Mus musculus: one gene and its partners. The protein of the gene in region 4 interacts with the protein of the main gene of each other region in a pairwise test. Links are inferred from orthologs where the notes say so. Each region holds a gene or a part of one and is shown on either strand. Other genes may lie near its edges.

What was found.
Region 1: the proteins of Mkrn3 (region 4) and Tchp interact in binary tests that used the Homo sapiens proteins (3 or more experiments, as listed by UniProt). The two-hybrid records come from large-scale screens. The link is inferred for Mus musculus from reciprocal best matches to the Homo sapiens genes MKRN3 and TCHP.
Region 2: the proteins of Mkrn3 (region 4) and Sfn interact in binary tests that used the Homo sapiens proteins (3 or more experiments, as listed by UniProt). The two-hybrid records come from large-scale screens. The link is inferred for Mus musculus from reciprocal best matches to the Homo sapiens genes MKRN3 and SFN.
Region 3: the proteins of Mkrn3 (region 4) and Fam110a interact in binary tests that used the Homo sapiens proteins (3 or more experiments, as listed by UniProt). The two-hybrid records come from large-scale screens. The link is inferred for Mus musculus from reciprocal best matches to the Homo sapiens genes MKRN3 and FAM110A.
Region 5: the proteins of Mkrn3 (region 4) and Enkd1 interact in binary tests that used the Homo sapiens proteins (3 or more experiments, as listed by UniProt). The two-hybrid records come from large-scale screens. The link is inferred for Mus musculus from reciprocal best matches to the Homo sapiens genes MKRN3 and ENKD1.

Annotation. Positions count from the first base shown.
Region 1 is NC_000071.6:114,706,431-114,710,578, reverse strand, and holds the start of Tchp (trichoplein keratin filament-binding protein), read right to left. Parts: upstream 2,801-4,148; 5' UTR 2,619-2,800; intron 1,926-2,618; coding exon 1,741-1,925; intron 1,546-1,740; exon of another isoform or gene 1,367-1,545; intron 1,273-1,366; coding exon 1,062-1,272; intron 1,030-1,061; exon of another isoform or gene 953-1,029; intron 1-952. UniProt on the Homo sapiens protein: Tumor suppressor which has the ability to inhibit cell growth and be pro-apoptotic during cell stress. Inhibits cell growth in bladder and prostate cancer cells by a down-regulation of HSPB1 by inhibiting its phosphorylation.
Region 2 is NC_000070.6:133,600,056-133,603,664, reverse strand, and holds Sfn (14-3-3 protein sigma), read left to right. Parts: upstream 1-1,496; 5' UTR 1,497-1,895; coding exon 1,896-2,642; 3' UTR 2,643-3,109; downstream 3,110-3,609. UniProt on the Homo sapiens protein: Adapter protein implicated in the regulation of a large spectrum of both general and specialized signaling pathways. Binds to a large number of partners, usually by recognition of a phosphoserine or phosphothreonine motif.
Region 3 is NC_000068.7:151,977,420-151,981,346, reverse strand, and holds the start of Fam110a (protein FAM110A), read left to right. Parts: upstream 1-1,127; 5' UTR 1,128-1,354; intron 1,355-3,927.
Region 4 is NC_000073.6:62,416,784-62,421,809, reverse strand, and holds Mkrn3 (probable E3 ubiquitin-protein ligase makorin-3), read left to right. Parts: upstream 1-1,656; 5' UTR 1,657-1,768; coding exon 1,769-3,403; 3' UTR 3,404-4,217; downstream 4,218-5,026. UniProt on the Homo sapiens protein: E3 ubiquitin ligase catalyzing the covalent attachment of ubiquitin moieties onto substrate proteins.
Region 5 is NC_000074.6:105,705,409-105,709,415, reverse strand, and holds the start of Enkd1 (enkurin domain-containing protein 1), read left to right. Parts: upstream 1-1,207; 5' UTR 1,208-1,259; exon of another isoform or gene 1,260-1,492; 5' UTR 1,493-1,507; coding exon 1,508-1,592; intron 1,593-1,672; coding exon 1,673-1,867; intron 1,868-2,677; coding exon 2,678-2,850; intron 2,851-4,007. Other genes in the region: 4933405L10Rik (uncharacterized protein C16orf86 homolog), read right to left, coding at 1-16, 403-620, 901-984. UniProt on the Homo sapiens protein: Microtubule-binding protein which regulates microtubule organization and stability. Promotes the stability of astral microtubules and facilitates the proper orientation of the mitotic spindle.

The DNA of each region.
Region 1 (4,148 bases), on a different chromosome or scaffold from region 4:
GCAGAGACAGACACATGAACCTGAGCAGAGGTAACTAACAGCGTGGCACGGCTTAGGCTAGTTTAAACAGGATGACTGAGTTATAAGCTCGTGGGAACAAGCCAAAGCTATTGGCGTAGGCGTTTATTCATAGATAAAAAAAATCTCAGAATTGTTATTTCAGGGAACAAAGAGGCCAGGTGGGAAAGCGTGAGGTTACAATGACCTCCAACTTCTTCAGGGTCCTAACACAGACTGAAAGCCAGATGTTCTGCAGAAACCCTCCCAGACTCCAGCACCAGGCAGGAAGCGCAGAGATATCTGAGCCTCATGGGCTCAACAACTGCGGGATTTCTGGTCTGTCTGCTGTGGGACAGCCACTGCTGGCCAACCTGGACTACATCCTCAAAGGGCCAACAAAACGTGGTTATACACCCCAGCTGGCACTAACAGGTTACCAAATGAGGTTCAGATCATTGTTACGTGCTGAATCTCAACTCAACACGGCTCACATTTCAAAGGCTTGCTCTGGTCCAGGCCGGTGATCCACCTTTAATCCCAGCACGTGGGAGGCAGAGGCAGGCAGATCTCTGGGACTCTGAGGCCAGGCTAGTCTATAAACAAAGTTCCAGGCAAACCAGGACTACACAGTGAGACCGTTTCAAAACAGCAAAAGCAACATTGAAAACAACTGCTCCCTAGCTTCCAGCACTGTTCAGGGGAGGCAGGGGGCGTTTAAGGGGATGAGGTACTAGCTGGCGGCAACAGTCCACTGTGGTGGGTCTCTGAACCCTCTTCCTAACATCCTGTTTCCTGAGCCAGCGCAACTTGAGCTCCATTGGTCACAGGCTCCATGCCTTCCTCATTACAATCGCTGGAGACCCTCAGAAACCACGAGCTAAAAATAAGCCTTTCCTCTCTGGGGGGTGGGGGTGGGGGGTTGGAGGCGGTTTTCCCCATGGGCTCTAGTCACCTGACCATCTCGTCGGAACAGGCACCCGAGAACAACCCCGTAGGCGCACTCGTCCGTTCCGGCGGGGATGCTACCGCCCTGCAACCTGCTTCCGGACTAGGGTAGTTACCAGCTTCCTCTGTTCTTCTCGGGCTGACTTCAGGTCCTGGTGCTGCTCGCGGAGCCTTTGCTCCCGCAGGCCCATGCTCAGCCTGAGCTCATCCAGCTCCGCAGCCAGCAAGTCCTGTTCCTCCAGGAGAAGCTCTCTGAGCCTCTCCCGCCGGAGCTCCAGAATCTTCCTCTTCTCCTCCTTCATCTTCTCACAATGGTAGGCGTGCATGCTAGGTTAAGGAGTTCCCTGGACATCAGTCACACCAGGTCACAGTTTGATGTACATTTCTATGTAATTCTTGGGGGGGGGGGCTAAACACCTACCGAGAAGACACTAGCGCTGCCTTCTGGTTTATCTTTTAAAATGTACAGTACTGCCGGGCATGGTGGCGTACGCCTTTAATCCCAGCACTTGGGAGGCAGAGCCAGGTGGATTTCTGAGTTCGAGGCCAGCCTGGTCTACAGAGTGAGTTCCAGGACAGCCAGGGCTACACAGAGAAACCCTGTCTCGAAAAATCAAAAAAACAAACAAAAACAAAAACAAAAAACAAAAAACAAAATGTACAGTACTTCTCCCCAGCACAGCACAGTTTCCAGCATCATCAGGAGATAATTCAAGCCACAGTCCCTAAGCCCCTAGGCTACATTCCCCGAACCGTGGTAGGAACCAGTGGGCAGGACAACACACAGACACTTGCCTCCGCTGGTAGGAGATCTTGGAGCTCCATTCGATCTGTTTCGAGTTGTGGATGTCCCAGGTCCTGAAATAGCGACTGTTCTGTTCCCACTGCTGGCGAAACTGGTCCTCCTGCTGATGCTGGCGCTGGCGAAGATCCATGTGTTTCCGGCTGGACCAATAAGAGGGCAACGTGGGGAGAGCCATCTGAAGGAAACAGCAGTGGGCAGAAAGTAAGCCAGTTGTAAAGCCAGGGACCGCCCCCCTCCCACTCGGATGCCTCCTCTCTCTATTGATGTCACTCGCCCCTTGGCTGCACCTTTCTCACAGTTTTAAAGCCCCACTCCCACTCGGATGCCTCCTCTCTCTATTGATGTCACTCGCCCCTTGGCTGCACCTTTCTCACAGCTTTAAGGCCCACGTTCCCACCCTAGGACAACCGAATGATCAAATTTTGTGAAGGAGGCCCATGCCAGAAAGTTTTAAAAGATTTGCCACCAAGGCTGCAAATTATCAATTTAAATAAACGTGCACTGTGTCCAGTAGTGGCCAGCCATTATCAGGGAGATTGCAGACATAGAAAATGTCCTGACATGCCTGGGATAGGAAATAGAGGTTTTTTACATTCTGCATAAAAACTACAGTGACAAGCAGGTCCCAGGGGCATGCCCCAGCGGTCCCGCGTACTTTGGAAGCCGAGGCGTGAAGAGATCACTTGAGTCCAGGAGTTCAAAGCCAACCTGAGCAAACCAGAAAGCCCCCTGTCTCAAAAAGCAAGCAGAAATAACCTGCGACAATGATGTGAAGATGACGGGTATGTGCCAAGCGCTAGGCATACAACTTTTTACAGGTCCCGCGGCTACAAGGATGCCACGTCCCCGCCCCTCGGCCCAGCCTAACCTCTGACTCATGCACTCCGTGTCCGAAGTTCGCGGAGAAGGGTCGCCGGCCTTAGCTCGATCACGCGCCCGCTCGCTCCGAGGGTCCCCAGGCGCCCACTGCACAGACGCCAGCCGTTTCCTCGCCGGTTGCCGGGCAGCCCGCGGGACAACGGAGCACGGCGATGGACAAACTTCCTCCCGCGCGACACCCGCCGCTCTCCAGGAAAAAGGAATGGTGGGTGGTTTTTTTCTCTGGCGCCACCTGGCGGTGGGAGGTAAATCGACAGTACTTGTTAGTCCTTGATGTAGGGTAAGGAAAAGAAACCTTAGTGACCCAGTCAGGATGATGGGTGGGGGTGGGGGGGTGGGGGTGGGGTTACCGGAGGAAGGTGGAGGAGTGAGGGTAGGTTTAATGAGAATCATCCCCTGGCCAGAGTGAGGAAATAAATGATTTGCAAAGATCCGCGGGTGTGTCCCGTAGGCAACGGAGGCCGAGAACCCGAGAACCGCTGGCCTCTGTAATGACCTCCGTCATTGGTACACTACTGTAGCCTTAAGATTGGTGGTGAGGGGCTGGTGAGATGGCTCAGTAGGTAAGAGCACCCGACTGCTCTTCTGACGGTGGCTTTGTGAAGGTCTGGAGTTCAAATCCCAGCAACCACATGGTGGCTCACAACCATCAGTAATGAGATCTGACTCCATCTTCTGGAGTGTCTGAAGACAGCTACACTTACATATAATAAATAAATAAATCTTTAAAAAAAATTGGTAGTGGGTACAAAGTTTTTTGTTTTTTTGTTTGGTTTGGTTTGGTTTTTCGAGACAGGGTTTCTCTGTATAGCCCTGGCTGTCCTGGAACTCACTTTGTAGACCAGGCTGGCCTCAAACTCAGAAATCTACCTGCCTCTGCCTCCTGAGTGCTGGGATTAAAGGTGTGTGCCACCATGCCCGGCTTGGGTACAAAGGTTTTAATAACTGTAACTCGCATGGTTGCTTACGTCCATGCATTAACTACCTAATACCAGTAAAAAGAGAAAGACATAAAAAGGGATTGGGCATATGTAGCATGCTCAAAGCTCTGAGTTCAAGCCCTAAAATAATGTACAATATTAAAATAGTATTTTACTTTACTAAATAATACTAAAATAGTGCCCTCCACGAGAATGTAAAGATATAGATAAATATTCGATCATTCCTTTTTGTTTTGTTTTGTTTTGTTCCTTTTGAGGCAGGGTATCTCTGTGTATCCCTGGCTGTCCTGGAACTCACTCTGTAGACCAGGCTGGCCTCAAACTCAGAAATCCGCCTGCCTCTGCCTCCCAAGTGCTGGGATTAAAGGCATGCGCCACCACTGCCCAGCTTCGATCATTCTTTTTTCTTCTATTTTCCCACCCACTTCCTTCTGCCTCTGCTTCCCAAGTTTTTCTGCTCTCTCACTCCTCCATTCTGTTGTTCCTCGTGGTGCCTGCCTGATGTTTCTGTTTCACCTGGAGCTGGCTGTACAGTGTTGTTGGCTCTCCACAGCCAATAACCAGGTTCAAACCTGCAG
Region 2 (3,609 bases), on a different chromosome or scaffold from region 4:
ACACACTAGCAGGGACTCTACCAACCAAGACACACTCCCAGCCTCTGCTTTTCCCCAGGGTGGGGGTAACATGTTTCCCTTGTGGCAAAGCCAGTCACCAACTGGCATGTCCCCTGTGTGAGTTTAAATGCTCAGACTCTAGCCGTACACTACCGTGGTCTTCCCTAACTTGATGTTTTACTGTAGTTCTGTGCCTGTGCCATGAGTTAGGCAAAGCACGCAAGATCTCAGGACAGAAATCCCATCTGCTTCCTGGGAGAACCTGTAAAATTAGCCAGGACCCTGAAGTCTCTCAAGAGCCCCTACTCCGTGGCCCAAGCACATTCCAGCCTGTTCAGGGTTCTGGCCTACAACACCTCTCCCGGAGGCAAGGCGAGTGCTCAGACACTGTGAGGAGACAGGCAAGGTTGTGCAATAGTCCTGCTTCAAGGGTTAGACTGGCTGGGTCCTAGGAAGAAACTTCTTTAGAAGGAACCACGGAGTCCCATCTAAACTTGAAGAATGTGGTGGGGCACATAAGCAGGAACACACCCTCAGTGCCCATTCTTATCATGGGCCTTGAAAATAGGGCCCAACCAATCAGGGATGGAAGATTGGGAACAAAGTGATCTCCATCTCCAAGGAGACTTCTCTCAGGGGTCAGAGGCAGAGTCTTGAAGGGACTTGAGAACCTCTGGGAGCCAAGTGAGGGATCATACTGGGCTGGAATCACACACTGCGCCATAAAACAAAATGGAATGTGCCATTCCCAGCTCCTTTCCCTCAGCCCTGTCTTCCTCCCCAGGTTGATAGCGTCCCCCCTGGGGGACCAAACTGGACTGAGCACCCAGGTGGCCTGCTTCCCAGCCTCTGACAGAGGTAATCTGAGTCAGGCAGGGGAGTGGGACAGTCAAAGAGTTAGGCCCCCACCCTCTGGGAACCCTGCCGATACATGACGACAGGCAGCTTGGAAGGGACGGGTGACCCGATGTGGAGAACCAGAGAGTAAAGTCTCAGACAAGTGTCAACAGGCCACCAACTTGAAAGGGAAAATTGTGCTGTAAGGGGGAAGGTGTCCAACAAACATATTGGGTGACTAATTACAAAGGCTGGGCTGGAGCGTCAGAGGCCGCTCGTTAAACACTTCATTAAGTGGCACCCTGAGATGCCACCTGCGCATCTGGGGTGTTCATAGGGCATCTTGAGGGAGAACAAGGACCAAGGGATGGAGCTATCTTCAGGCCGGCTCAGCTAATGGCCCCCAAAGAGAGCCAAGAGGAAGAGGGGACACGGAGGGGGAGGGGTTTAAGGGAGCTGGCAGCTTGTGACCTCAAACTGGTTTGGTTCACCCCTGAGACTTGATAGTTCTACCTCTACAGTCCTACAGAGCCAATTCGGGGGTTGGGGGTAGTTGCATCAGATCATGGATGCGCAAGTTTGGGGGAAACTGTACAGCCCTACCTATACATGAGTTCTCACCTGAACTGTCCCAGCTCCCTGGGCTCTGCCTGGGCTAAAGCAGCTCGGTGGCTGAAGCCTGGAAGATCACCCTGAAAGACAATCTGATTTGGTAATCCAAGACGCTCCTGCAATGCAGCCAGCCCTGAACTGCAGGGGGCAGTCTGGAGCCGAAAGGTGCCTTTGCAGGTGGGACCTGCGGCCAGGTTTCTCCTGCTGACTGTCCTGGTGACTCACAGCCCCCTCCCGTCCCAGCCCTTTTACCTTAAAGGTAGAGCCGGAAAGGGTGTGGCGAAGACTAGGAGGAGGCAGGGCCCAGGCCCGCTCAGACCACGCCCAACTCTTCTCAGGGCCATGCCACCCCAGCCAAAAGGCAGAGCCAGAGCAAGGGAGCCGCAGAACCCAGCGTTACTCTCGAGACAGCCAGTTCGCCCGTCTGTCTGTCCATCCTCGCAGTCATGGAGAGAGCCAGTCTGATCCAGAAGGCCAAGTTGGCTGAACAGGCCGAACGGTATGAAGACATGGCAGCTTTCATGAAGAGCGCCGTGGAAAAGGGCGAGGAGCTCTCCTGCGAGGAGCGAAACCTGCTTTCCGTAGCTTACAAGAACGTGGTGGGCGGCCAGAGAGCGGCCTGGAGGGTCCTGTCCAGCATCGAGCAGAAGAGCAACGAGGAGGGGTCAGAAGAGAAGGGCCCCGAGGTGAAAGAGTACCGGGAGAAGGTAGAGACCGAGCTCAGAGGTGTGTGCGACACCGTACTCGGCCTGCTGGACTCGCACCTCATCAAAGGGGCTGGAGATGCAGAGAGCCGCGTCTTCTACCTGAAGATGAAGGGTGACTACTACCGCTACCTAGCCGAGGTGGCCACTGGCGATGACAAGAAGCGCATCATCGATTCTGCCCGGTCAGCCTACCAGGAGGCCATGGACATCAGCAAGAAGGAGATGCCGCCTACCAACCCCATCCGCCTGGGCCTGGCCCTGAACTTTTCAGTCTTCCACTACGAGATAGCCAACAGCCCCGAGGAGGCCATCTCGCTGGCCAAGACCACCTTCGACGAGGCCATGGCCGACCTGCACACCCTCAGTGAGGACTCCTACAAGGACAGCACCCTCATCATGCAGCTCCTGAGAGACAACCTGACGCTGTGGACAGCCGACAGTGCTGGGGAAGAGGGTGGTGAGGCTCCGGAGGAGCCCCAGAGCTGAAGCAGCCGACAACCACCCCGGCTCGCCTTGCCCTCCAGTCCCCAGCCTGCAGAGAGGACTAAAACGGAGTGGGACTCTGCCCTTCCCAAACCCTGAATGTTCAGCCACACCTTGGAAGGCTCCTTTGAAGGGGGCGCAGCCAAGCTGAAGCCACCAGGGCAGGGAATCTCACTCTTCGTGTAGCTGTCTGGTGGGTGTTCCCAACCCATCCCACCCCTGCTCTCTGCACCCCCTCCCCACTTCCTCCCCCTGAGCCTCCCTCGGGCACCTGTTGCTTCTGGATCCGAATAATCCAGGAGGCTCCCCACCCTGTGGCTGAGAACTGGACTGTGGCAAGGGCTGTGTGTGTGAGAGAGAGGGAAACTCTGTGTGTGTGTGTGTGAGAGAGAGAGAGAGAGTGAATGAGAGGGAACACGTTTGCTGGGTGTGACCATGCTACCACTCAATAAAGTTGCCCTGTGACACTCGGTCTTCTTCAGTTATTGGCCATGGGTTGAGAGTAGAATTAGAAATGAGTTAAGAGAACCGGACTCTGAAACTCTGAGCTAGGTCTGTCCCTTGGGGCTGTCTGGGTGACCTGGAAGTGAGACGAGCCTTTGGGTCGGTGTCGGTGACCTGGAAATTTTGGGTAGGGTGACTTCAGGTGAGAGGCCACCAGGAAGTCCCCGCAGCGCTTCGGCTCAGGCCAGGTGAGCACAGAGGCAGGTCAGGAGAGCAGAGGAGAGTGGGGGCTGTAGGCGGGAAAGCCGCGAAGTCAGGGAAGTTTGGGCACAGTGGCCTTAAGAGACACGCTTCACAAGTGGCACTGGGGACCTCACTTTAAGAAGCGGGAAACGGTCACGTCAAGTGCTCAGATCTGAGCCGAGGGGTGCAATCTGAGGCAGGGGCATAGTGCCTCCAATAAAACAGATCAAATAAGGGAAAGCTCCCCAAGGCCCAGGGACAAAAAGAAATCGGCTGAAGAGGA
Region 3 (3,927 bases), on a different chromosome or scaffold from region 4:
AAAGTCAGTTTTTTAAAGGGTTGCAGCAGATTAGACTTGGTGCCTTTTAAAAAAACAAAAACAGGAGGAAGAGAGGGTGGGTGTAGGAGGAGTTAAGGGGAGAGAGTGCGGTAAATACGACTAAAATACACTGTGTTTATGTATTAAATTCTCAATGAATGAATAAAAGTATTATCTTTTAAGTGTAAAGGAATTAGTTGCTGTTTGTTATTGTAAATAGGCTATGTTTATTTAAATAGTATGGTTATGTATTTAATATCTATCTATGCTGTACAGAGAGTTTTGAAGTATGCTTAAAACATGACACTTCCTTAGCATTCTCCCATTGTTCTTAAATGTCGTTTAATCTAATCGTTGTAAGTTAATGCATGGTATTCCCAGCTGGAAAGCGGCGTTGAAGGTAGGTACCTCAGAGCTGGGTCATGAGTCCTGACAAGAATTATGTAGAAAGCTCGATTCAGCTTCTTTCCCAGGATCGACGTCTATAATTGATCTGGTTTTGATAAGCACAGTGGGAGCTACGGGTGTGCCCGTTTGAGGATTGACTTGCCATTTCAGGTTAGGGGAACAGAGAGGGAGAGAGGATTGTGGGTAAACACACAGAGAGGTAGCTGCTGAGTTGGAAGTAGGGCCTAGTTTGGGGGGTGGTCACTTAGTACCAACTCATGGGGAGACTTAAGTCAGGCAGCAAGTGTGAGGACTACTTGGGCAAAACGCATGAATTCCGAGTCAGCCTGGGCAACTTGGTGAGACCCTGCCTCCAAAGAAAAAAGTGAAGGGAGAGAAAGCTAGGTATGGCATAGACCTATAATCCTAGTACTAAGGAGGTTGTGGCCAGCCTGGGCTAGGCTAGTTATGTGTGAAGGCCCTGCCTCAAAACCCCAAAAATATTGGTACTAGTGCCTGTGCAAAACCAAGCAAACAAATTTGGGACTAGTAACTCTTGCAGCTGGAGACCGAGGAAGTCCAGCTGGAAGAGAAGAAAGGTCTGCCAAGGCCTGGGCAGCCGGAAGGCCAAGCGGCCAGCTGGGCTCCGGGCAGCAGTCGCCCTGCTGCATCTGCGGCTCCTGATGTTGCCTGGCAACCCGGGTGGCGCGCCGTTCGAACGGAAGCGACGGGCCAATCAGGAAGTCCGGGGCGAACCATTGCAGCAACGGGGACGGCGGGCTCACTTCCCTTTCCTCTGGGGCCCCAGGGACGTTCTCCCGGAGGGAATCGTGGGACAGCCAGGGCGTCCCACTCGGAAGAGCTCGCCGGTCTTCACACGTAGTAGCCTTCTCAGGTCTGCAGGGACCACCAGCTGTCAGCCTCGGCAGCCGGCGAGGAGCGGGATTCCTCTGGACGTGGGCTGCAGGTGAGCATGGGGGTAGGAGGCGGAGGGTCCCGGGGCAGTGCCCACGCATTAACCCGGGCAAGAGTCTCAGTACAGGGGGTCGACAGAGGAGAGTTCGTGTCTAGTGTCCAGCCCAGGGGGCCAGCAAAGGATCCAGGCTGTTTCCCTTTCCCACTCTGCAGTTCCCGCTCCTGGCCGATCAGAGGAACCCCGCGGGTTACTCTTTAAGGGGCTTATTGGGAAGACGTGGCTCAGGGGATCCCAGGGCTAGGCTACCCGTGCCCTACCGGCCCTTGGAGTTCCCCTTCAGGACATATACCATTCCCTCCCCATTCGCAACTTTTCTGCCTTACAGGGTTCTACAGAGTCCCAGTTCCCAGTGCTGCCCTCTCAGAGGGCCTCCCTGGGTTGAGTCCCTAGGACTGCAGGGCAGGGTTGAGTCCCTAGGACTGCGGATCCAAAGGCCTTGGAAGTCATGTGGATGTGTGTGTGTGTGTGTGTGTGTGTGTGTGGTACCTCTAAGCCAGAGTTGCTGGAACTGGACTTGAGAGTTGGGTGCAGGGTCAGACCCTCCCAAGTAGAGCATCTAATTTAGGCTGGACTCTTACCTACCCCCCTGTTGTTGATCTCGTTTCGTAGGTGGGGAATCTGAGGTTCTGTGAAGTTGAGGCTGTTGCTCAAAGGCACAGACTTAACTATGCAGAAGTCTTCAGTCCTTGACACAGGGAATCACCGACTCGATGGAGGATCTCTTATGAAGGGAACTACTCTTCCTCTGAGCCTCATTCTGGCTCTGGGGGAGCTGTGCTTGTCCATCTGTCTTTGTGTCATGCTCCCTACTCCAACTCTTGTATGGCCCAAGCTGGCCTCAATCTTACTATGTATGACCAGGCTGGTCTTGAACTCTCCGTCTTCCTAAATCTGCCTCCTCGGATGACAAGCATGTGCCACTGGCACACCAGTTCTGTGCCATTTTCGGGATAGAACCCAGGGCTTGGTTTGTGCTAAGAGAGCAATCTACTAGATGAGTTACACCACTGCCTCATTTCTTTCCACGTCGTCTAGCTTCCTGTAGCCTGATCTCTCCCCGAGTGTCCTGTTTTTCTCAGTAGCGTCTGTTCCATATTATGCGTGAGGTGTCTTATTAAGCAGTTTATTATCTTCCCCAGTGGAATGTGTCGGGCAAATGAGATGCTTAGCACAGGCACAAAAATGTCAGGGTGGCCGAAACTTGCAGAATCAAGATGATCAAAGCCAACATCTGTTGGCCATTTGCTGTGTATTGTGCTGGGGGTGGAGCAGGATAGGGTGGTGTCACTCAGGTGGACTCTGGCCAGCAGAGCCAGCATAGGCATTGTTATGAGCACACACACACACACTCTCTCCTCCAGCTACCTCACTTTAGGCAAAATGACAGGTGCCTCCGTGCTTCAGTGATTTGCAGCAAGCAAGAACTGGACAGACGCAGAATGGCCCTCAGTAAGGACTGATGGGAAATAATCCGAAACTCCTTAGATACTTTTGTGGCACCAAGAGGAACATAGATGACTAGCAAAGGGTCTGGGTGAGAATTACACACATAGCATGATGCGCTTTGCAATCCTGAACCCTGACTGTGGGCCAACTAATTGAGAAGACACAGACATAGTGATTACATCTACAGAAAGTTATGAGGTCACTGCCCTGCCTGGGGTTTGTCATTGGCTGTGTGAGTTTGGGCAAGTTTCTTCACATTTCTGAGCTGGGGTAAAACACTGCATGTGGAGTTCAGGCCTAGGCAGGACAGGAAGTGGGTGTGGCCACAGGCCTAATTCAAGCCTCACCTTCCTATCCTGGGTCAGGCAGGCCCTTCCCTAAGGCCTTGCTTGTTAGTCTTTCTGTCTCTCCTCTCTCCTTCTCTTCCTCCTTCACTGCAAGTCTGCCTTTGTTCCCATTTTTGTCAGGGTGCAAACTGAGTCCCCAGAGTTTGAGTTAAGTGGAGAGTGTGTGCTGGAGTGGTTCACGCAGGAGTTCACTGTCCTAGGCATCCTGGCCCCTCCCATGGCAGCCCACTCCTAACTCCTTGAGGTTTGTACAGAGCTACTCTGAGCAAGGCTGACTCCAGGGCAAGCCAGGGCATGAGCCTAGTGAAAACTCCAGAAATAGCTTGGAACCTGGCCTGCCCTGGAGAATGCCCAGCAGGGCGTCCAACCTGGACAGCTGGGCTGCCTCTTCCCCACTGCCTGGAGCCTTCTTGATCCTCTCCTGCAGCAGCCAAAGGCCTCCCTGTCTATGGAGCCTGATCCGGCTTTCCTTTGAAAGGACAGAGAAGCAGGTGGGAGGTACAGAATCGCATAAAATGATCAACCCTAGAAATCCCACCTTATACTGGGAAGAGAGGACACACGGCTGCCTGGGCTTAGAATGCTTGCCCCGTGCTGAGAACTTTAGCAGTGTGAGCTGTGATTTCGGTCCACTCTATGAAGTGAGGGGATTGCTGCTTTTAATGCATGGATGCGTATCCTGCAGCAGGCTTGTGAGAGGACACTTAAAGGAGTCAGTTCTCTCCTTCTACTGTGGCACTGAACTTGGATCCTCAGGGGACTGAACTCGGA
Region 4 (5,026 bases):
GCACTTTAAAACAATATAAGCTTTTCAACCTTTATGTTCATTTCAGAGTCCACATTTTAAAATACCTCATATCAAAATTTTCTTAAGCATATGTAGAACATACCTAATAGATCTTTATTTTTGTTTCTGATATTTTTACTAATCTATCTATCTATCTATCTATCTATCTATCTATCTATTTATGACCATTTAATGAAAGTTTCAAGTTTCATATTCAAATCTTTTCCCCACTCTCATCTGCTAGTTCTTACTTAGGTCTTTTATAAATTAGTGGCACTAAAAACATCTCATTGTTTTGAGGTTTCTTATTACTTAATGTCAGTTCTTTTGAAGTATGTGATGCTGGAGATCTGAGCCTTTTATTATTTTCCTTCATAAGTTACACAAGAAAAATTTTGCCTATTCTATTGTTCTTATTTCATGTTTACTTTGACTTCATCCCCCCTTATCTATATTGTTTGATTATGTTCCTCTTATCTTGTTTTATCGTTGTTGGATTTATTTAGTTGAGACTTATATTTTGAGTTGGATGATTATATCATATGCTTTCAGAGTTTTTTAACCTTAGGTTGTGAGACTCCTTCCAATAAAATTATTTTTCTGAGCATAATTTCATTTTTTTAAATAGTAAATAAAATATTTGAAGCATTGCTAATTCAAGTTAGTGGGTGAGGAAAGGAAGAAAGCATGATTATTACTAAAAATAAAAACCCACGTAAAACTATACTATAAAATTTAGTATGCCACTGTAGTAAGTACATGTAGCAGTGTAGAACTACATATAAAATTATTAGCCCAATAGTATATATCTGCAAAATGAAAAGAAAAAGAAAAAGAACTGGCTCAGTGCAGAAATGGAAATGAGACACTTTGGGGTGCAAAGAGGAGCTGGTATTATGAAAAGCTCTGTAGAGCAGAATGGGATGAAAAGGAAGGCAGGGAACAAAGGGTCTCCGAATCCAACCAACAGAGAAAAGTTAAAGCCTGGGTCATTCTCAGACCTTGCCTTATTAAGTCTTCATCAGGGTTGGGCAAAGTCCAGGCTTCTACATTGTTGGGGGTCCGGGAGAATGTAACAAAGGCAGGAAAGTGAAAGGCTCTGAGTAGCCTCGGGGCAGGGGATTCCCTCCTAATTAAAGTGCACGCAAATTAACCCTTCAAGGGAAAAAAAGACCCAAAGAATCCTGTCAGATCTACAAGCATTGAAGGAGAAACGCTTTGGCAGGGACACTGTCCGATCTTAAAAATTAGTAGCCTATAAACAAACGACAGAAGAAACTGAAAAATAATTTTTAATGTGAGTGAAATGTTTTATGTTCAAGCAGCAGACGGTAAAGGCAATGTGTGTAGCGTTTTCTTAACACACACACACAAATAAACTGCAATGTATACAACTGAAACCTGGAGAGTTTAAAACATCAACCTTGAGGGGAAACACTGTGGAAACGGGGATTGGGGGGTTCAGAGTCGCACTTAGAAAGCCGGCAGAAGCCCATCCCAGTGTCTCAAGCAGAAACAGGCACGCGAAAAACATGGCGGAAGCAACTTCCGGTGAAGCCCTAGGAATGGTGTTACAACCGGAAGTGTCCGCCTGCCTGTAAACAGGTAGGAACTAAAGTTTCCAGGGAACGGGGAGCAGGTGGGAAGACAAAAATCGATGCACTTCGCTCCGAGAAGAAGCTGGTCGAGCCATCTCCAGCTCCGCAATTCAAGCACAAAAAAGATATAATATTCGGGTTTTTGGACAGTGTTAGAGGCACGCTGTAAGATGGAAGAGTCTACAGCTCCCATTGAGGCCCACGCGGCCGCCGGCGCCGAGGCAGGTGCTGAAGGGGGGGAGGGTGTGTCTGTTCCCCCCCCTCCTCAGTTTGAGGCTGCTGGAGCTTCTGCGGGAGTCAGCTCGGCCCCTCTGCAGCAGGCATCGGGTCTGGCACCGCTCCTGGTGACTCCAGGCCCAGCGATCCGGCGCGCGGCGAGTTTGAGGCCAGCGCCAGCCGAAGGGGGCGGGGCCCGGTCTGGTCCGGAGCGCAACAGTGGCAGCTGGACGAAGCAAATCCTCTGCAGGTATTATCTGCATGGGCAGTGCAAGGAGGGCGATAACTGTCGCTACTCTCACGACCTTTCTGGGCGGCGGAGATCTAGGGGGGGGCAAGATGCTCAGCCTCGGGCCTCTGCAGACAGAGGACCCAAGATGGCCACTCGCTGGGAGCCCCCGACTCAGGAAGTGGCGGAAGCCCCCCCTGCTGCATCCTCAAGCTCCTTGCCTCTGATTGGCTCGGCTGCTGAAAGGGGCTTCACTGAAGCTGAGATTGACAATGCAGGCATTCGCTCAGCTGCTGAAAGGGGCTTCTCTGAAGCCGAGATTGACAATGCAAGCCTTGCAGCAGGTGCTGCAGCGGGAGCGGGTGCAGAAGGCTGGGAGGGGGCAATTGAATTTGTTCCTGGACAGCCTTACCGAGGTCGCATGGTCCCCCCGCATGGTCCCGAGGCTCCTCTGCAGAGCCCGGCAATTGAGAGAGAGCATATGGCTATGGGCATGGGGATGCCGATGCCAGTGCCAATGCCAATGCCAGTGCCAATGCCAGTGCCAATGCCGCTGCCGCTTTGCCGCTATGCTGCCCGGGGACAATGCCTCCGTGGGGACAGGTGTGCATACCCCCATGGAGAAATATGCGACATGTGCGGGCAGCAGGCCTTGCACCCTTGGGATGCAGCTCAGCAGGAAGCTCATAGAAGGGCCTGCGTTGAAGCACACGAGAGAGATATGGAACTCTCTTTTGCTGTGCAGCGCAGCATGGACAAAGTGTGTGGCATCTGCATGGAGGTGGTCTATGAGAAAGCTGACCCCAGCGACCGCCGCTTTGGCATTCTTTTCAGCTGCAACCACACCTACTGTCTTAGGTGTATCCGCAGGTGGAGAAGTGCCACACAGTTTGAGAACAGGATCAGTAAGTCCTGCCCACAGTGCAGGGTCTCCTCTGGCTTTGTCATTCCTAGTGAGTTTTGGGTGGAGGAGGAAGAGGAGAAGGAGAAACTTGTTCAGCAGTATAAGGAGGGGATGAGCCAGAAAGCGTGCAGGTATTTTGCTGGAGGCCTAGGTCACTGCCCATTTGGAGAATTCTGTTTTTACAAGCATGAATACCCCGAGGGCTGGAGAGATCAGCCTCCAAGACCAGATGGTGGTGGATCATCAAGCGCATACTGGCATCAAGTTTTGGAGCCTGTGCAGTTGCGAGAGGGAAACGTGCTGTTTAAAAGCCGTAAAAAAGAGCATTCTGTGCTTCGCCTGGCCAATCAGTTGCTTAAGAAGTTGCTTTGCCTGAGAGGCAGTTCTTCCTTCTCTGATGACCGTTGGCTCTTGCTTCAGTACCAGCTGGAAGAATATTTCAGTTTGAATCTGTAGTATCACGCTGTGGCATGTGGTCTGGTCTGCTAAAGCTCTGTTGTCTGCTGTTGCTTATTCCCCTTTATTGACTGAAAAACCCTATCGCTTTCAAAGGCTACTGAGGCAATCTTTATGCAGTATTGCTGTTTTCTTCTCTATTTCCTATTTCTTCTTGCTAGGATTGTGATGTTTCTCTGTGTTACAAAATAACAAGAAATCTTATAAGTATTGTTTGGTGGAATTAATATTTCTGTCAACTGATGACTTGTGATGTCTTTTTTCCAACAGGATTCAATCACTTCTAGTCTAGTGTTTACAGTTTCTCATTGTGAAGTCCCTTAAGAGTAAATGTGACAAGGTGACAAAAGTCTTTAACTGAATTATGAGCTTTTTGCTATATAGCCTTAAAAAAAATGGACCCTTACAGGACCTTGCAGCTGCTGTCTGTGTTTGTTTACATGTTTGTTTCTTCCCTTCTCTTTCAAGTGCACTTGTTAACTTGTGGTTACTTTGTGGTTCTGTTTTACTTGACCAAAATGAGGTGCATATGTTTACATGTTTTTATCCTGTTTGGCTTGATGTGAAATTATTTATATTTGGAAATATATATTTAAGAATGATATATATGCGTATATGTATACAAAGATGTATTTGAAAAAAACTGGAAATAAATATACACCATAATATATATGTTTGAAGTATTGAAATAAATGCAGAACTGAAAGCCCAGTGTTAAAGTCCAAGTGTGTGGGCTGTATGTGAATTGTGTGGATAATCTGCCCCTGCACTGATGTCAGTGATTAGCATCTAATAAAAATGACTGCTAAGTGTGGATCTGACTCTTTTTTTAATGGATTTACAAAACATGACTTCGAAAATTCCTACAATACCATTAACAGCTTCCTGGTGTTATAATAATGAAACAGTGCCTCACATGAAGTTACCATCTCATTTTTCTTGACAGAGACAATTCCTGAACTTAAACATAGAGTTGTTTGTTTTTAATATCTTAAAAATCTGGTTATTGTATAATTTATAAGCAAAGAACTTTTGAAAAAAGGTTTTCAAAATAAAAATTGTACAATAATGAAAGAAAATCGTAATAAGTAAATATGAGAATGGAAATAAAGTGAGGCATAGGAATTTTAAAATGTTAAACAGAATCATTTTGGAAACTTCTAGTACGAATAAGCCCTAATTTGATGTAAAAGCCATTTACTTATCAAGGGATACTTAAAGTGAAAATACATTCTACCTAAAATGCACAATTAAAATACAAAATCAGGAGTTTGAGGGGAGTAACTGTACAGTGACTGTACTGTAAGTATGATAGTTCAATTTTCTACTAAACATTCCTGGAGAAGAGAAGTGTAAAATCATTAAATTTTACTTGATCTGGAATATATAACTTCATTTTGTCTACCCATTTACTTTGACACAAGCAAGTGAATATAGAAATGGCACAGTTCACGTGTGTAGTAGAGAGTATTACCACATCGTTTAGTAAGTGAATAGAAAAACTTTTGTTTCACTGAACAGTGCAGATTTAAACCTCAGAATTGTATAGAACACAATGTGTTTTCCTTGACTGAAATTGCCAAAAAATGTGTCTTAGTTCTCTGGTGTACACCATGTGCCAAT
Region 5 (4,007 bases), on a different chromosome or scaffold from region 4:
CAGCTCAACTTCTGACCTAGGATGGACATGGTGCTTGGCCCTGGGAGGGCTGGGGAACCCAAACCTGGGACAAGAGGCCTGAAAGAGGCAGGCTTCAGTCTTTGGTTCCTATATCTTGAGCCTAGGGCTTACCCCTGCCTGTCCACTAGAGCTAGTTAGCTGTCCATTTCTTAGACAGTGAAGCTCCAAGCCCAGTAGAGGCTCAGCATTTATGGTAGCTCAGTCTCCTTGCAAGATCTAGAAGTCCCAAATCCATACCAACCCCCCAGCCCCCAAGTTCTAGAGTTGGGAGTGAGGGGTATTGGTCAAAGACAAGAATCTCTGCCTTGAAGGAATGGGGATTTAGGAATCTCCGGGCATAAGACCCACCTTCCCAGCCCTTCCCTCCGAAAGCCCTCTCACTTTCTCTTGGGCCCATGAGCTGGTCTCACGATGGATGACGTAGGCTTGGGTCCTCTCTCCTCTCCTGCTTCCACCCCTGCATTGAGCCCTTCCTCTCCCACCTTTATTCCTTCCTCCTGGAGCTCTGGCTCTAAGCTGTGCCCCACGGGACACTTGTCTTCGCCTGGGCTCCTGCAGGTCTCATGTGCCGGCACCAGACACTCTTCTGTTCCTGGACACTAGAAGATACACATAGGTCATTGGGAGCCGATGGCCAGGCAAAGTATTGTGGGGATCAGTTATTCAAAGCCCAAAGCTGCTGCAATTGGAGTACATCTCCCTTGGTTGGGGGGGTGGTGGTGTCTCCTAACTACATATTGGCCACAAAATATGAAGGTAACCAGCTTAGGCCTCTCTACTTGTAGGGCTTGGCCTGGCAGTTAGAGGGTTGGGTTACCTAGAGTCCCACCTCTCCTGCCCTACCCCTCCATCTCCCGAGCTTTGAAATGCCCAAGTCACCTCAAGGCTCTCTGCAACCTGGGCTAACCCTACTGCTGCCCCATTCTGGGTTTCTGGCTGCCTCTTGGCCCCTTCTGAGGCCATAGGCTATGAGGAATCAGTGCATCCCTCGACAGTTGATCAGAGAAAACCTCAGGCCCAGAGCGGGGCTGGACTGGTACTCAGTGCTGGTAGGGGAGACAGGTTGAGAGGTAAGGCTCCTGTTGAGACCCGAGACTTAGAATCACTCCTCATCTGGAACTACAAACCCCAGAAGGCTGTTCGCCTTAGTCATTTGACCCCTGACCTCAGGAAGCCATTTGTTGCCAAGCAACAGCAACTCCTACCGGCTTGCAACAGTTGGCGGTAAAACTGCTCCAGTGAGAGCCCTCGCTGGGGCTTGGCGGGGGAGGGGCGGCGAACCCCTCTGGGCAGTGGGCTAGTCGCGGGGCGGTGGTACAGTCTGCGCCTAGAGACGGGCGGTCGTCGAGGGGTGGGGCTCGGTGATGGGGGCTACCGCGGGGATGCAGGGCTCGGGTGGAGGGTGGAAGCACCCGACAGGGATTAGAGGGGAAAGTTGCGCAGCGCAACAGGCCCTGGTGCACTGTTGCAGGGCTGCGGTAGGATCATGTGCGAGGGCCCGTCCCGCATCTCTGGACCCATCCCCCCAGACCCCACTCTCTGCCCGGACTACTACCGGCGGCCGGCCTCGGGTGAGTTGCGGGGTGCCTCGGCGGGGCGAGTACCCCGCCCCACCCCTGAGCACGGCTTTCCACCGCGTCTTGCTCCTCAGCCCAAGGACGCCTGGAAGGAAACGCGTTGAAGCTGGACCTGCTGACTTCAGGTCGGGACCTGGACTCCAGTCCTCCTCGTGGCCCTCGCATCAGGCCTGAAGCCCGAGAGATCCTAGAGCGTGGCCAGCGAGGCGTGGGGGACGTGCTGCTGCAACTGGGGTGCATCTCCCTCGGTTCGGGGGTCTCTCCTAAGAGTAAGTCCTTGCAGACGGGGTATTGAGGCATTCTTAGGTCAAAAGCAGAGATTAAAATAGGGTGCTTCTTAATTGCCTTGAGCCCATGCAGTTAATGTTCTTTTCTGGGTCTTAGTTTCTCTAGCATAAAAGAAGGGCAAAATACAATACCTCCTGGCAGGATCAGAGTCTATCCTTCTGCAGAAAGCCCTCGCTTCAAGCTTTCACACCTTGATGGAGCATTGTTTACTTAGTGCCTACTTTGTGCCAAACCCTGTAGCTGTTAGGAAAACGGGGTTAAAAAGTATGGGAGTCGTCCCAGGGTAGGGTAGTATCCAAGGGAGGCTTCCCCTTCTCTGAGGAGAAGAGAAAGGGGTAATGGGGGGGGGGGGATTTGGCACAGGCAGGACTGGGAGTAGAGGGGCTACAATTGGGATGTGTGAATTTAAAAAAAATTGGCGGGGGGAGTATGGGAGTCACAGTTGGAGGCAATGAACAAGACAGGCCATGTGTATAATATACACGGTGATTAATGGTATGCTAAATCATAAAATGTAGAAGATAACCAGGAGGGTGACTGTGGAAGGGAATAAGCTGATAACTGTGCTGTGGGTATGATGTCTAACTTCCATGAAGAGGCCTTGGTTGTATTTAAAAATGTGTGTGTATGTGTGTGTGAACCCAGGGCCTCTCTTCTACCAGACATCTCCCAGATTGTCTGAGAGGTCTTTCTGCCAAGGGTAGGGTGTGAATCTATATTCGATCTAGTCCGAGGTGCATGGCCATTTGGTAGGGCTGTCCCTAGCAATATTCCTCCCTGCACCCTTCCAGGGAAGAATCCAAAGGACCATGAGAAGGAAAACTTGAGGCGGATCAAAGAGATTCAGAGGCGCTTCCAAGACCAGGAACGCAGCCGGGAACAGGGTCAGCCTAAGCCACTGAAGGCACTGTGGCGCTCACCCAAGTATGACAATGTGGAGTCTCGAGTCAAGGCCAGGATGAAGGTATCTGTCCCAGGGAGGCAGACCTATCCATCTTGGCCAAGGCAATTATATCTGATCTAACTTACAGAGCATGTGTGTGCGTGCGTTCATGAGTGCGTGCGTTGGGGGAGATGGTGATCACAAAAGACTAAGACATCTGGGTGGACTTTCTCTGGGGAGCTGATGGCATCAGGTCAAGGATTAGGCTAGAGGAAGAGAACATTCCACAGAGATAAAACCCCACAGGTAGATTCTGGCATCAGAGGGAGTAGGGGCAATGGGCATAGTGGGCATAATTCAGTTTGTAAGGGGGAGAAGCAGAAGGTTTGAACAGAAAGCCAGCAGGGTACATATCTGAAAGAACTACCTAAGTTACCTAGTTACATGTGATATTGGAGATGGAATCGTGAGACACATGCACACTAGGTACTCATATAATATACCCACGACCTTCCTGCTAACTCATTCTCGGTTCCCCTATCTCTGTGTCTCTGTTTCACGCAGCCCAGGCTGACCTCAAACTCTTTGACTTTCTTTTTTGTTTTGTTTTTGTTTTGGTTTTTTTTTTTTTCGAGACAGGGTTTCTCTGTATAGCCCTGGCTGTCCTGGAACTCACTTTGTAGACCAGGCTGGCCTCAAACTCAGAAATCCGCTTGCCTCTGCCTCCCAAGTGCTGGGATTAAAGGCATGGGCCACCACGCCGGGCTACTCTTTGACTTTCTAACTCTCCTTTGTCCACCTCCTGAGCGCTGGGATTAAAAGTGTTCACTACCACACTACTTTCTCTTTTTCTTTTAATTCATTCATGACTTCTTTGAGATTAAAAAAAAAAATTACATGTCTGTGTGGCTACATGATTGTCTGTGCACCAGAGTCCAGAGGAGGGGATGGGCCTCCTGGGACTGGAGTTACAGAGAGCTGTGAACTGTCCTGTGCTATTGCTGAGTTGTTTCCTACTCCCACCCCCAACCATACCCCACCCCCACCCCACTATCTCCACTGCTACTTTGTTTCTAGACAGAGTCTCCCTGTGTAGCCTAGAATAGCTTCAAACCCATTATGTAGCCCAGGCTGGCCTTGAACTGGCCTAATTTTCCTGCCTTAGTCTACCGGGTTTGGACCACCACTCTCAGCTCATTTCTTTGAGTTTATAGCTTGCTCTTTAGCCCCAGGCTCTC